Linked DNA regions of Drosophila melanogaster. Changing the gene in region 1 together with any one later gene gives a genetic interaction. Each region holds a gene or a part of one and is shown on either strand. Other genes may lie near its edges.

Region 1 (7,270 bases):
TAAGATCGCTTATCCATTAAGCTACTTGGACAATCAAAAGTAAATGCAAGATTAATTGCAAAACTGCAGATAAATAGTTTCGCCTTGGATTCACAGGTTTCATTATTCTGACAAATTGTGAATAAAACCAGATATACCCGTTTGGGATTCGTTAACGTAGTTAGCCATAGGTGCATAGGTAACTGGAGCACCGGAGCTTTCGAATCGGCTTCGGCTGCATCAGGAGACCTTGGCTAAGTCCGAACTGGAGAGGCGTATGCAAGGCCACGAATTATTGGGGCCTAGGCCTTTGCCAATTTGCATGATCGTGATCATGATCACTCGGCTATAGAATTCCACCCCATTTTCGGTCGGGGAGGGTCTAAAATTAAATTAAATTTAAGCTACTTCTCCATTAGCTACTTTTATGAGCTGGAAATTTTAAGTATATACCATCAAATTGCTCTCGAAGAAGATCTCGTTAACATAGGGAGTAATGATCTGGGTAGTATGGCCGTTTTCGCGGGTGATTCACTTGCGTCCACCTGCTGTTGCAAGCAGCCAAGTAGACAATTGCGTTGGGTCTATGGAGCGCATGGAGTGGGTGGGAAACGTTTGCCAACAGGCTGCGCTATTGCTGATCCATTGTTGGCCTGGCTTAATAACGAAACAGAAGTATAAAACAAAAAAAAAAAACAAAAAAGCCAAATCAAACGCTCTTCATGAGCGGCGGGAACTGCGCTTTACTTGACGTGTAATGTCTGCTATTTGGAGCAGAAACACTAATGGTCATTAAGCACACTGGTAAACCCGCTTTCCACATCCAATCCCCAGCTCCGCGTCCCAGCCTGGCCAACGGCTTCAACTTCTTTAATCGGAACTTCTGGAGTTTCGGCCAGCAGAGTCTGGTGGCAGTGCGTCCGCCCACCAAGCAGGCCCATCCGCCGAAAAAGTTTAGTCCCAAGGACGAAAAGTCCGGCCAACGAAAAGTGGCCAAGACCACTAGGAAACCGATGGATCAGAGAACGAGTACAACTAGTCGAAGCGCAACAACAACTAGCACACAAAAACCCACTACAGATGGACCCTTTCGCATTGCACTGCCCACCTTGAACTTCCCACGCGACAACCAGGATAAGAACAGGGATAGGGAAACGGAGAAGGGCAAGAGGTCGGCTGCCGAGCTGCGCTTGAGGTTCGATTGTCCGCGGGAGAACGAGGTGAGGTTCCAGCTATTCCCCAAGATCTGCAAGGCGGATCGAGACTGTGCCGTGTGGCAACGGGATGAGCTGTGCTGTGATATCTTTGGAGCAAGCAGCTGTGTCTCTGGCGTTCCAAAGCCGCTAGAGGAGACTCCACATGCTCGTAAGTGGGTTTAATCCTTAGCTGCTATAGATATTATTCAATTTATTGCTCTTGCTAGCCATTCTGGGCTTGATACCTCGCAAGTGCCCGAGTAGACCGCTCGCCGAGCTCTGGTGGGACGTCCAGGAGTGCTCCACAGACATGGACTGCTGGCCAAGGGTCTGTTGCCCGGATGGGCGTAGGAGATACTGCCGCACCTCGCAGCCGGAGTTGGAAACAGCTCCAGTGCCAGTGAAGCGATCCTTCGACTATCGTAAGTTAAAAGTTTTCCGTATGATAACCGAAATCAATCGAAGCCTTGCGCTTTTCCAGTTACAGAGTACCTGGAGTGCACAGCCCCGCCGCCGCCCATCTTTGACCTTCATCCCAAGGCGTGCACCTCCACCTTGGATTGCTTTCCGAATGTGTGCTGCCAGGAGGCGGGACTGCGCCACTGCCGGCCGCCCAAGAAGTCCGTGCTCACACTGATGGCCAACTTTCTCAACGTGGACTTCGTGAAGCGACTGGCACAGAATATCGTTATCAAGTAGGGCGAACCGTGAATTTCCCACTATTTTTCAACGTGCGTCGAGCACCTTCGACAGAACCATTTCGAAACCGCCGTGAAATCTCGCCCGGGTTTGTTTGGCCACGCTGATAACCAAAAAGAAGATATGCCCACACCCATACCATTCATAGACATACATATGTATGCACCTTTGTATACTGCGCACCCCATCCATTCGTAATTCTCCATTAAGTATTGTTCACCTAGCCTAGTATTAGACCTAAGCTGCATTCGTAGGCTAGCAAAGTAAATAAAGTATATATGTATGTATACGAACCATAAACTCCATCTGCGGCTTTTCCACTGGAGGTCTGAGGTGGAGGTCTCCCGTAACCCTACGCCTCCTAGGTCACTTCACCCGACTGCCGTGGGGTTCTTGTTCTTGACTTATTTCGTTGGTATATCGTTTATATGCCGGGTTCTTACACTTTCATGTTAATTGCGCGATCATATTACATCTAAAACTATATGGCACTTTTGCGCTATAAACGAGGCATTTCACAAAACAGACTGAGCAATAATAAGTCTACAATCATATATTTCTATGAATCACCTATAAAATAATGGAAGCCGATTTAAATATGAACTTTCATTACCCATTTCGTTGTTATGCCTAAAATCGTTTTAAATTTGATAGGGTAATATATTTTTATTATTTCTAAAGCTAGTATTCTTTAATATTATCCATTCGATAGCGGCTATATTCTAACGCCCGCAACTGTATTTTTATCTACAAGTCATGAGTTCAAGCCGCTGTGCTTTGAAACTCAATCCCTCAGTCGCTTCAGAAGTGAGGCATCTCAGATTACCATATTGCTCAACTGACTTTAGTGTTATGTACATATGTATATGCACATTGTGGAAAACACTTGACCATCCCATTTCCACGACGCATATTGCCGACCACGTAGCTAGAAGCTACCTCCAATAAAAGCGAATCTAACCTAGAATGCCGCAGACCAATTGATTATGCAACCCGAAAAGACGCAGTTAGGCATCAATTACTTTAATTGGACATTTATTGCAGGGTGTGTAGAGAGACAAGATGCAGCGCCTCTACTCCAGATCTTTTTTGGGGGAAAGCTCACTCGGAGCAGCCGCAGGCGGATTTCTTGTCGCCGCCGCACTTGCAGTCAGATCCGCAGTTGCAGGATCCCTTGGTGGCCTGGCTGGCGCATTTGCATCCTGGAAAGAAGTAGAATTTAAAAATTAGTACATGCTGGTACATCCTGTAATCCATAAGCCATATAACATTAGTGTTCCATTTTATAAAACGCAGTTGAAGAACTTCTTTTCTTAGAGAGACGAACTCAGAGATTTCACTTTGCAGATAGTTTCAGCTTGAATTTTTATACTATTGAATCACCATTGAATTTTTATACTAGTATAATACCATTTCTCTGAAAGATCTGTGATATCCTAAAGGATCACACCAGACTGCGAACTTACCGCTTCCGCATGGGCAAGGCATCTTGATTGAGTTGTATTTCCTCGAACTTGTTCACTTGTTTACAAAAAAGGTAGGTATGGGCTATTTAGGCCTTTAGTTGCACTGAGATGATTCACTTGATTTTGCTGCTGACCACAACTGATGCACATTGGCCAGATGCTCTCGGTTTTATACATTTTGGAAACGCGGCTTTACACACGGGTCTTTCGTTCGATTCACCTCTTTTGCACACGCCGGCCGGCTCCAAATTCGAGTGGAGACGTGTGCAGAAGCTTTTGTTCTGCCCGCGAAGAATTGGTTCGGTTCTCCACTTTGGGGACTTGTATGGGATGCAAAGCTCTTGGTGGGGCACATGGGGCATGCGCAGGCACTCTTACTTGCGTACCACATATGTATGGGGGTGGCGGTGGGCGGTGGGGGGCCGGAGTTCTGGGTCTCTTATCGGAACCAGAGGATAGGACGGCCTGCAGCAAAGAGCTAGTCACATCGGGCACCACATCCTGTCCTGCAACGAATTCCAGTGCAACGAAATGCAAGTAAATACTGCTACGCAATAGTTGGGACTCCCACAGATCCTTTGGGGCCATCCCAATTAACGGGTATATGGATGCGGTGGCCATTACTGGCTTTTCCCTCGATTCTCGCGTGTGGGTGGCAAGTGCAGTGCAGATAAAATCGATAAATCCAAGCCAAAATAAAGCGAGGAAAATCCAAGAGCAAAGCGCGTGAGGTGTACGAGGTGGAAAAAAAAACACATACAAAACAACGAGTGTGCGGGAAAACAAAACGTCGGAAAATCGCAAGGCGAGTCGGTTGAAGGGGGCGGGCCAAAGGTGTCACACGGGTCCACCAGGACAATCAAGCGGAAGTGAGCAGTTACGGCTAGTGTGTATTGTGTGTGTGTGTGTGTGTTTGGGGGCGGATGGGATAGAAAACCGTTCCGAATGGGACACTTGTCTTCAAAGCAGGCCTATTTATACCGCACCCGGTCATGGGCAATCATAATCGTGGCGATAATGATGAGGAGAGGCTGGTGCCGATCAGTGCCAGTGGAGCGAAAAATCAATACCCTTCCTTGCCACATGTCTAAAATTAGCGGGATACTCTCACACACATTGTTTGCCGTTATTAAATATACTATTAAAAAGGAGTTCTATCAACTTTGATAAGGAAGTTGTAAGTCAACCAAGGAGTTATGCGGGTTTATATAATAGAATCATATATAATATAATCAACTCATTATCAATTTAAAAGGTTCTTAGAGTTTTTTAGTGTAAAGGAATATACATTTTAAAACCAATTCAACTAATAAAGTGTGTTAACATGCCTACTAGTGTATATCACCATCGGCTTTCGGAAGTTAACTTTCTTTCGCATTTTGTTTTTGTTGCGGGACCCTAAAGTGGTAGTGCCACCCACGCCCACGCCCATCACGTCCCTACCACCCACATCCACCAACTGGCGAACCGGAAAGGTTGTGCGTGCGTGGGCGTTGTGGCCAAGCTGATTTGCTCTTAATTGTTGCAGATAAACGAAAGCATGGCGCCCAAGTAGAACATTCCACCAGCGCCCGACAGCAAGCCAACAAGCTTCAGCTCCTGCTTCTCTCTATTCCGATTTCCACTCCGAGTTTGATATACGCGACCGCGTTCGACCCACTCGAATCCGTATCGGTAACCGGGATGACGGAGCAGAAGAATCAGGTGACGCGCGCTGCACCGGAGCAGAGCAACGATTACCGCGTGGTGGTTTTTGGAGCCGGCGGCGTGGGCAAGAGCTCACTGGTGCTGCGCTTCATAAAGGGCACGTTCCGCGAAAGCTACATCCCAACAATCGAGGATACGTACAGACAGGTGGGTGGGACGCCTGGTGCTAGAGATTACTCACATAATCCGCTGGTCTTCGCACAGGTCATAAGCTGCAACAAGAACATCTGCACGCTGCAAATCACGGACACCACGGGATCGCATCAATTCCCGGCTATGCAGAGGCTGTCCATCTCGAAGGGGCACGCCTTCATCCTGGTCTACTCGGTGTGCTCCAAGCAGAGTCTGGAGGAGCTGCGACCCATCTGGGCGCTTATCAAGGAGCTGAAGGTTGGTCCACTGCCTGACAATCATTTCTCATGTACTAATACGTTGTGTGTCCACAGGGCGCCGACATTCCCAACATACCCGTAATGTTGGTGGGCAACAAGTGTGATGAGACCGCCGAGTTGCGAGAGGTTAGAGGATGTTCCATCTGATCCGTCATATACATACATGCTTAATCTAAGATCTAAGTTACAATCTTCAAGGGGGATTTTAAACAGAAAAATCATCTCTTTAAGAAAACCTCTAATCCAAATGTGCCATCCACAGGTCTCCCAAGCGGAGGGTCAGGCCCAGGCGACCACCTGGAGCATATCGTTCATGGAGACGTCGGCCAAGACGAACCACAATGTGACCGAGCTGTTTCAGGAGCTGCTCAACATGGAGAAGACGCGCACCGTCTCCCTGCAACTGGACACCAAGAAGCAGAAGAAGCAGAAGAAGGAGAAGAAGTCCAAGGACACGAACGGCTCGATACCGGAGAACGGCGATGCGGGGGCCAGCGCCAGCGGCGGGGCCAAGGAGAAGTGTCGCGTTATGTAAGCATCGGATGGCCAAAGAGCCAGATGGCCAGATGGCATGGCCATGTGACCCGGGTCACATTGCGTCGAGCTGAAGTGAACGGAGACGACGGTGACAGACAAATACTCGCCTTGGGGCAGCACCCTTGGGTGGGGGGTTGCTGGCTTAGGTAGCCACCCACACGGGCCACGCCACACCACACCACACCACGCACCGCACACACCACTTACACCATACCACATACCACACACAATCCCCACTTTATCCACATATAGAGTTACATGCATAACGAGACACTTGTATTTAGGAACTGACTGGATAAGTCGCACCACGATTGCAATTACGATTACGAGTATATTTTGCATAGGTTATATATTCTATTCGAGCCGATCAGATCTTTCTAGTCGCACAGAGACACGATACCACGTACTGCATACATATATACATATATACTAATCCAAACACACCACGGAAACTAACCCTAAGTTTGCACATAATCGCATCTGAAACGTAACGGCATACATATCAAATGTTTACATACTTACATACATACTGCATGATCCATCAGCCATTCCATAACCAGATATCGAAACGAAATCGAACGAAGCTATACACTAATATCTCTAATGAAAGCCAAAGTACCTACTTAAAGACATAGAATCTGTATCTACTACGATATGATAACAAAATATTTACATGGATCCATCAACGTAAGACTTCTCCGTGATCGCCACATAGAGAGCATCGCGAGGCAACCGGAAACGGAAGTGGCCGCAATTGGCCGAAAATGGCCGATGCCTCCCCCTGACTATCATTGCTGTTTAACTATTTACCACCTAACCAGAATAATACCGATTCGGACGATTCGCCCCGATCGCCATATAAGCTAATGTATAAAATACTCAAGGCCAACAACACCGACAGCCCACAGTCCGTAAAACAGATGAAAGAAGAAATTCGCAATGGCATTGTGTTTTTTGTATTATATTAAATATGTATGTACAATTTTACACTTATTTGCTGAACTTTATTGAGCAGCTTGAACTTTCTCAGTAGTAGCCAGATCGATCAGTCAGAGAGTTAGCCTAAGTCAGAATCACGTTTAAGTACAATTGCATTCGCATTCATCGTGTGAGCCAAGTAACGCGTACATCGAAGGATATTTGAAGAGCATATGGTGCACTTTTTGCAGTAGCGTAGATGGGATATAAGTTGCCTGTTTTTAAAACACCTACCTATCTATCTATATGTATGTATGGATGGATGTATCGTACGTACGTATAACATAACACAGACCGTTCCCAATTGTGGTATTCG
Region 2 (5,929 bases), 1.5 Mb from region 1:
AGGATCCAAGGACTGGCTCTTGAATGTACTTAAAAATCATTTTTGAAAGTTTAGAGGTTTCGATTGACTTGAACTTTGTCACCTGAAGACTGAGGGCAGTACCCTAAACTAGTTGCATTTATACGCGTTGTTTAATTGTCCAATGCTAGTTAGTTATTCACGAAAAGAACCGCCTTTATTTGCGTGCAAAATTGCACAGGTTGTTTTGAGGGGTGTGTCTTCATGTCTTAAATAATTGACAATTGTTCCCATATTGTCCCTTTCGCAGGAGTGGTTGTTAATTACTTTATTTATGGTCCTGTGAAAATAGCTTCTCTGCTGAACCTTAATCATTCTTCAATCTCAAGAATAGGATACACCCATGTGCACCTATCCTTAAGTAGTGTTCTATGCGCCAAGGGGAAATCTTTGCGTCATCGCTCAAAGTGCATTTCCGCACGTTCCGGGCATTCAAATTGTGTTTTCCCAGTCACAATCGGGGCACCCACATCCGCAGTTCTAAGAAGCAAATGGTAGCGATTTTCAGCCGAACAAACGGCTCTCCACTCAACTTGGGCTGCCGCTCGCCAATCCTCCTCCGCTCCGCCGCTCCACCGCTTCTGCAGGTCCCACTCCTAGCCACTCGGCTCACTCATTTGCCACCGAAACTAATTAGACGCAAATGTGCTTTTGTTCGCCTTCCCATTCCCAGGCAACGCTCTTTGTTCGCATTTTGTACTGGGAACCGGGAATAGCTTTCGGATGATACTGTGGCATACTCTGGCATATGAACAGTTTCCGAAAACAGTTTTTCATATTTATGTTAAAATGTATAGACACTTCCTTTATTCCTTTATGTTACCAACCTAACTAATCCGCAATCTTCTCTTTGCAGAGTCGCAGTGTCCGCAGTATGGCGAGGTGAACCAGCTGGGCGGCGTCTTTGTCAACGGCCGTCCGCTGCCCAATGCGACCAGGATGCGGATCGTGGAGCTGGCCCGCCTGGGCATCCGACCCTGCGACATATCGCGCCAGCTGCGAGTGAGTCACGGCTGCGTGTCCAAGATCCTGGCCAGGTACCACGAAACGGGCTCCATACTACCCGGCGCAATTGGGGGATCCAAGCCGCGCGTGACCACACCCAAGGTGGTCAACTACATCAGGGAACTGAAGCAGCGAGATCCCGGCATCTTTGCGTGGGAAATCCGGGACCGTTTGCTCAGCGAGGGCATATGCGACAAAACGAATGTACCCAGTGTGAGCTCCATATCGAGAATCCTGCGCAACAAGTTGGGCAGCCTGGGGCATCAGCACACGCCGGGAACGGTGATGGGCAGCGGAAGCAGCAGCGGTGGCGGCAGTGTGTCCAGCAATGGTGGACAAAACAATGGCACGAGTGCCAGCAATAATATTAATCTGAGCAATCTGGGTAATCCCGGCGGTGGACCGCACCATCCGCACCACCATCATCATCATCAGTCAGCGGCGGCGGCGGCAAGTGCCCATCATGTGCACGCCCACGCCCATGCCCACGCCCACCTGTACAACTCCATCTACCAGCCGTACAGTGCTGCGGCGGCCTACAGCATGAAGACGCCCTGTGGAAGTCCATCCCCGCCGCAGGGAGCGGGCGGTCAGGGATCAGTGCCCCATCCCCACCAGCTGAGGAGTGTGGCCGCCGCAGCCGCTGCCGCCCACTGGCCCTCCTCCCACTCGGTCAGCGATATCCTGGCCCACCATCAGGCTGTTGCCCTGCGCGCCAGTTGCCAAGTGGGCGTCGGAGTGGGTGGAATGGGCGGCATGGGCAGTACGGTATCCCCGCTGCCGATGACTCCTTCGCCGGTGGCGGGAACGGCCGGTGGTCAGCCACTGCTCGACTGCGAGGGTGGGGCGGGACAGCAGTCGCCGTACAACTACTACATGTACTTCCAGAACGGCGGAATGCATCACCACCATCATCACGGCGGAATGATGGCCGCTGGAGCCACGGGCTTATGATTGGGTGGTCTATAATCAGCGGATTGGTTGCGGGTCTAGCTACTTTCGATCGCGGTTGTTCAGTCTAGGTTACTCTAGTCTAAGAGCTAGTTAGGGAATGGTCTCATCATGGCGCTCACTTGTCACTCAAATTTTAAACAAATGCACTAAAAGAACTTATAATTATCCCGGAAATTTCAAAATAATTTAAACTTTAACTAAGAAGCTTGCAAATACTGGTGTGTGGTTAGGCAAGTACAAATAGATAAAGTGTCGTAAAAAAATGTGTGCGAGATGATTCACATAATCATAAGGTTTGCTTAGTTATATTACCTGCCCAGATGTATCACAGCTAAAATATTTGTTAAAAAGATTTTTCAAGATCTTAACTAAACTAAAATATGTACTATTGTGTGATAGGTGAGTATCGTGATTAGTTAGGCCTTCAAATGTGAGTTGTGGGCTGTCAGGACTCAGACCTGGTAATGTTCGCATTTCATAACGAATTTCATGTAATCCTGGAGATTTAACTTTGCCTTCTTTTTTGTCTCATATCGGATTGTTTGCGTTTTGAGTTCGGGGTGGTCAAAAATAAAGTGTATTGCTTATAAAAACATATTGTAAAGTCAAAAGTATTGAGTAGTACTTTAATCGCTTTAGATGAATACGCGTTGTATAGGTTCTTGTTCTCATGACTACACTATTTGTACAATATGCTCATTAAGTAAACTAGTTGACTAATTTATGCTACGATTACATCAATAACAATTAAACCAAGTGTAACTATCGAATAAAATTGTATTTTTAAACAATTTGTATAATTACGTGGGGACGGGACTTTTTCTTTGATGTGTGAACCAAGAACTGATAAGGGCTTAGTTTATAACAATTGCAAGATATATAAACAATTAAGAGCGATATTCTTGATCTAAGGACAGCACTCGCTCTCGTCGGGATTCTTCTTGTTCCAGCCGAAGAAGAAGTAGCCCAGACCCAGTCCCAGGATCACTGCCAGGCACAGCCAGTAGTTGAAGGTCATGAAGATCAGCATCAGCAGGTACGAGATGACGATCTGCAGCAGGTTCAGCAGGGACTGGACGATGTGCGACGAGGCGAACAAGCGCTGCCAGTAGGTCTGCTCCCTCGGCTCCGCCAGGGGAGCTTCCGAGCAGCATCCTCCGGCTGCCGGAGCCTCGTTCTTCCTACGCTGCTCCGCCGCCAGCTGCTCGCTTGCTCGACGGGCTTCCCTGCGCGCCAGTTGCTGTCGCAGGAACTTGAGCGCCTCATACAGGAAGGACACCAGGAAGATGGCCAGGGCGGAGAGCACGAACTCCGTCACAGTGGACGCCACCCATCCGCGCCACAAAATTCGCTCGCAGTGTCCAGCGTGGAACTGAAAGGATGCGAGAGTGAAAGATTAACTACATAAGAATCCATAAGATCAGTAAGATGAGGCTTAAATACCAGTTAACTACCACTAATTACCACTTAATAACTTTCTAATTCGTATCTATATCTAGATTCCTAGATATCTAATATCTAGGTATATCTATATGGTCACTTTTGCTAAGATGATCCTTAATACAAAAGTTTAATATTACTTTTAGTTTTATAAAATATCAAGCTTAAGCTTTCCAATTAAACATCAACATAAACATAACATTCGAATTAAACATCTTTTTTATAATTCCCTTACAGCGGTATAATTTAACCCATGAATCTTTATTCATGAGACACCCTGTTCGAGCATATTCAATTTGTATTATTTGTATTTGCTGAGAGCGAATAAAGCGCTAGAGAGCGAATAATTCGTTGTGGTTTCTGGCACATAAACATACTTATACGAACTTATACTAGGGAGTGACTAGCCAGAGAATTCAAATTCCAAGTCGGACGAGATATTTGTTTGCTCTCCGTGCAAATCTCATTCAGCTAAACTGGATGAGTGACTTTTAAATTACAGCGTTTAGCGCAGTGGTAAGTGATTTTGTATCAAAATTGTTGGACACAGGAGTTGTGTAACTGCGTACTCACCACCATGATCATAGGGCAGGACTTGGCCGTGCTGGTGCTGTCATCCGAGCCGTGATCCATCTTGGGCTGCTGGTGTAGTATAGATATAGATAGAAGGCGTGGAAAATCCGACTGGCGATCGGGGAGGCACAGTGATAAGAGCTAGACCTGCTGAGGTGCTGAGAGCAGAGCGTTGACTGCTTGAAACCCGCTGCTCGCGAGTGGTTTTTTAAAGAAAATCGCACCTAATCCCCCGACGCGGCGATAGGAAAGTGCGCTTATCTATGGGCAATGGGAAAGAGCGTTATCACCCAGTAGCGGCGATACCAACGATAGTCGCCCCACACTAAGAAAGGCAGCCCAGATACAGTCATGTAAATAAACATAAATGCATGCAGATCTCAGTGTTAGAGGTCAGATCAAAAGATATATTCTGGGTATCAGTTGCAGATCTTTATCTCGAGAGATAAAATCCATAATTGATGCGTCGTGGGTTTCTCTGCGGTTTGCAGCTTAATTTATGGACTCATGGCAAAGGTTCGACAATCGATTCGTGTGCAGAATTTATTGCAATTCAGATTATCAATCATGGGCTAATACAACCCCCTGAAATTGTTGCTGTAATACATGATGTTGAAATAATTCCATTATTTCTTCGCTTCGATCACGGTTTTATGGCTCTAGTCGAGTACATTCATACGTAGGTATATGCCCATATTCCGGCATGGGAGCGATAGCAACCGTCGGCCGCCGGATCGCCGGAGGTCTGCCTTAGTCCACTTGGCTTTCCTAGAGTGTTATTTCTTACTGTGCTATTTCTAACTGGGATAGAATGCCGCCAAAATTGATGGCCGTGCGCAAACCTTCTGCGGCCGTGTGCATAAATTCTACGGACATTCCTGCGCCGTGTGCCAATTTCGAAAAATGGGCGACGTGCGCAAAACATTAACGATATTGCAGAGGGGTAAATGGTTGGGTCTACGCAAAAAAGAGAGCAAAAGCTTTTGCTAAACTGCTTAGGTGGAGATAACTGTAAAGAAGCTTTAGTTATTAGTATTGGTAAAACGAAGAACTACATTCCGCATATGTTCTTCTGTGTTTAGATATATAAATATGACTTTGGTGAAACACAACTCAAAAGTTAACAATTAACACAAGTTGTTTACAACTTTAATATATTTGTCTTTGAAACTTAAATTCAAATTTTTATCGCCAAATGCAGCAGTGCCACCGGATCATATTGTTTTTTCATCTATCCGGCAACTCTTTGTCTGCCTTTACCCGGATGGCAGCCCTTTGACATTCCCAACCAAAGTTCCATTAAACATCTTGCCATTTTTTGACTGTGAGTTTACGAACAAATACAACTTAACATCGTGTGACTTAATGCTTTAATCGTTGAAGGTGCTAGTGCAAGGCAAATCGCAATGTATGCGCTTCGACACCTGCGACTCCAGAGCGCTAGGCACTTCCGCAGCTCTTATGCAGCGGCGGCAACAACAAAACACATGCTGCCCCGGCAACCAGCGCGTGTTCTGATTGGAGATTGGAGCACTTGGGATAAGTCCCGGCTGCAGGATGTATGCTCCAGGAGTTCGAGTACCGCCACTGAGCCCGTGAAGCAGCAAACGCCGCTGCAGGAACTCGTGTCGGCCGCCAAACCCTATGCCCAACTAATGCGAATCGACCGGCCTATTGGCACCTACCTCCTTTTCTGGCCTTGCGCCTGGAGCATAGCGCTCAGCGCGGATGCGGGCTGCTGGCCGGACCTCACCATGCTGGGTCTGTTCGGCACCGGGGCACTGATAATGCGCGGCGCCGGGTGCACCATCAACGATCTCTGGGACAAGGACATCGATGCCAAAGTGGAGCGCACGAGGTTGCGGCCCTTGGCCTCGGGTCAGATCAGTCAGTTCGATGCCATAGTATTCCTCTCGGCGCAGCTCAGTCTGGGTCTTTT

The links. Genes that interact genetically often act in the same process or in processes that back each other up.
Region 2: of MtnA (region 1) and Ctr1B, changing one suppresses a phenotype caused by changing the other (phenotypic suppression), as found in Drosophila melanogaster (one study listed by BioGRID).

The regions. Positions count from the first base shown.
Region 1 is NT_033777.3:9,780,884-9,788,153, forward strand, and holds MtnA (metallothionein A), read right to left. Parts: upstream 3,488-7,270; 5' UTR 3,363-3,487; coding exon 3,341-3,362; intron 3,077-3,340; coding exon 2,976-3,076; 3' UTR 2,524-2,975; downstream 1-2,523. Other genes in the region: CG12947 (uncharacterized protein), read left to right, coding at 814-1,344, 1,403-1,597, 1,657-1,874; CG8500 (uncharacterized protein), read left to right, coding at 5,024-5,194, 5,252-5,437, 5,494-5,565, 5,702-5,974. UniProt on the Drosophila melanogaster protein: This protein binds cations of several transition elements. It is thought to be involved in detoxification processes.
Region 2 is NT_033777.3:8,315,858-8,321,786, reverse strand, and holds Ctr1B (copper transporter 1B), read right to left. Parts: upstream 4,176-5,929; 5' UTR 4,051-4,175; coding exon 3,991-4,050; exon of another isoform or gene 3,781-3,990; intron 3,350-3,780; coding exon 2,885-3,349; 3' UTR 2,582-2,884; downstream 1-2,581. Other genes in the region: Or85a (odorant receptor 85a), read right to left, coding at 1-40; Poxm (Pox meso), read left to right, coding at 875-1,977; Coq2 (coenzyme Q biosynthesis protein 2), read left to right, coding at 5,397-5,929.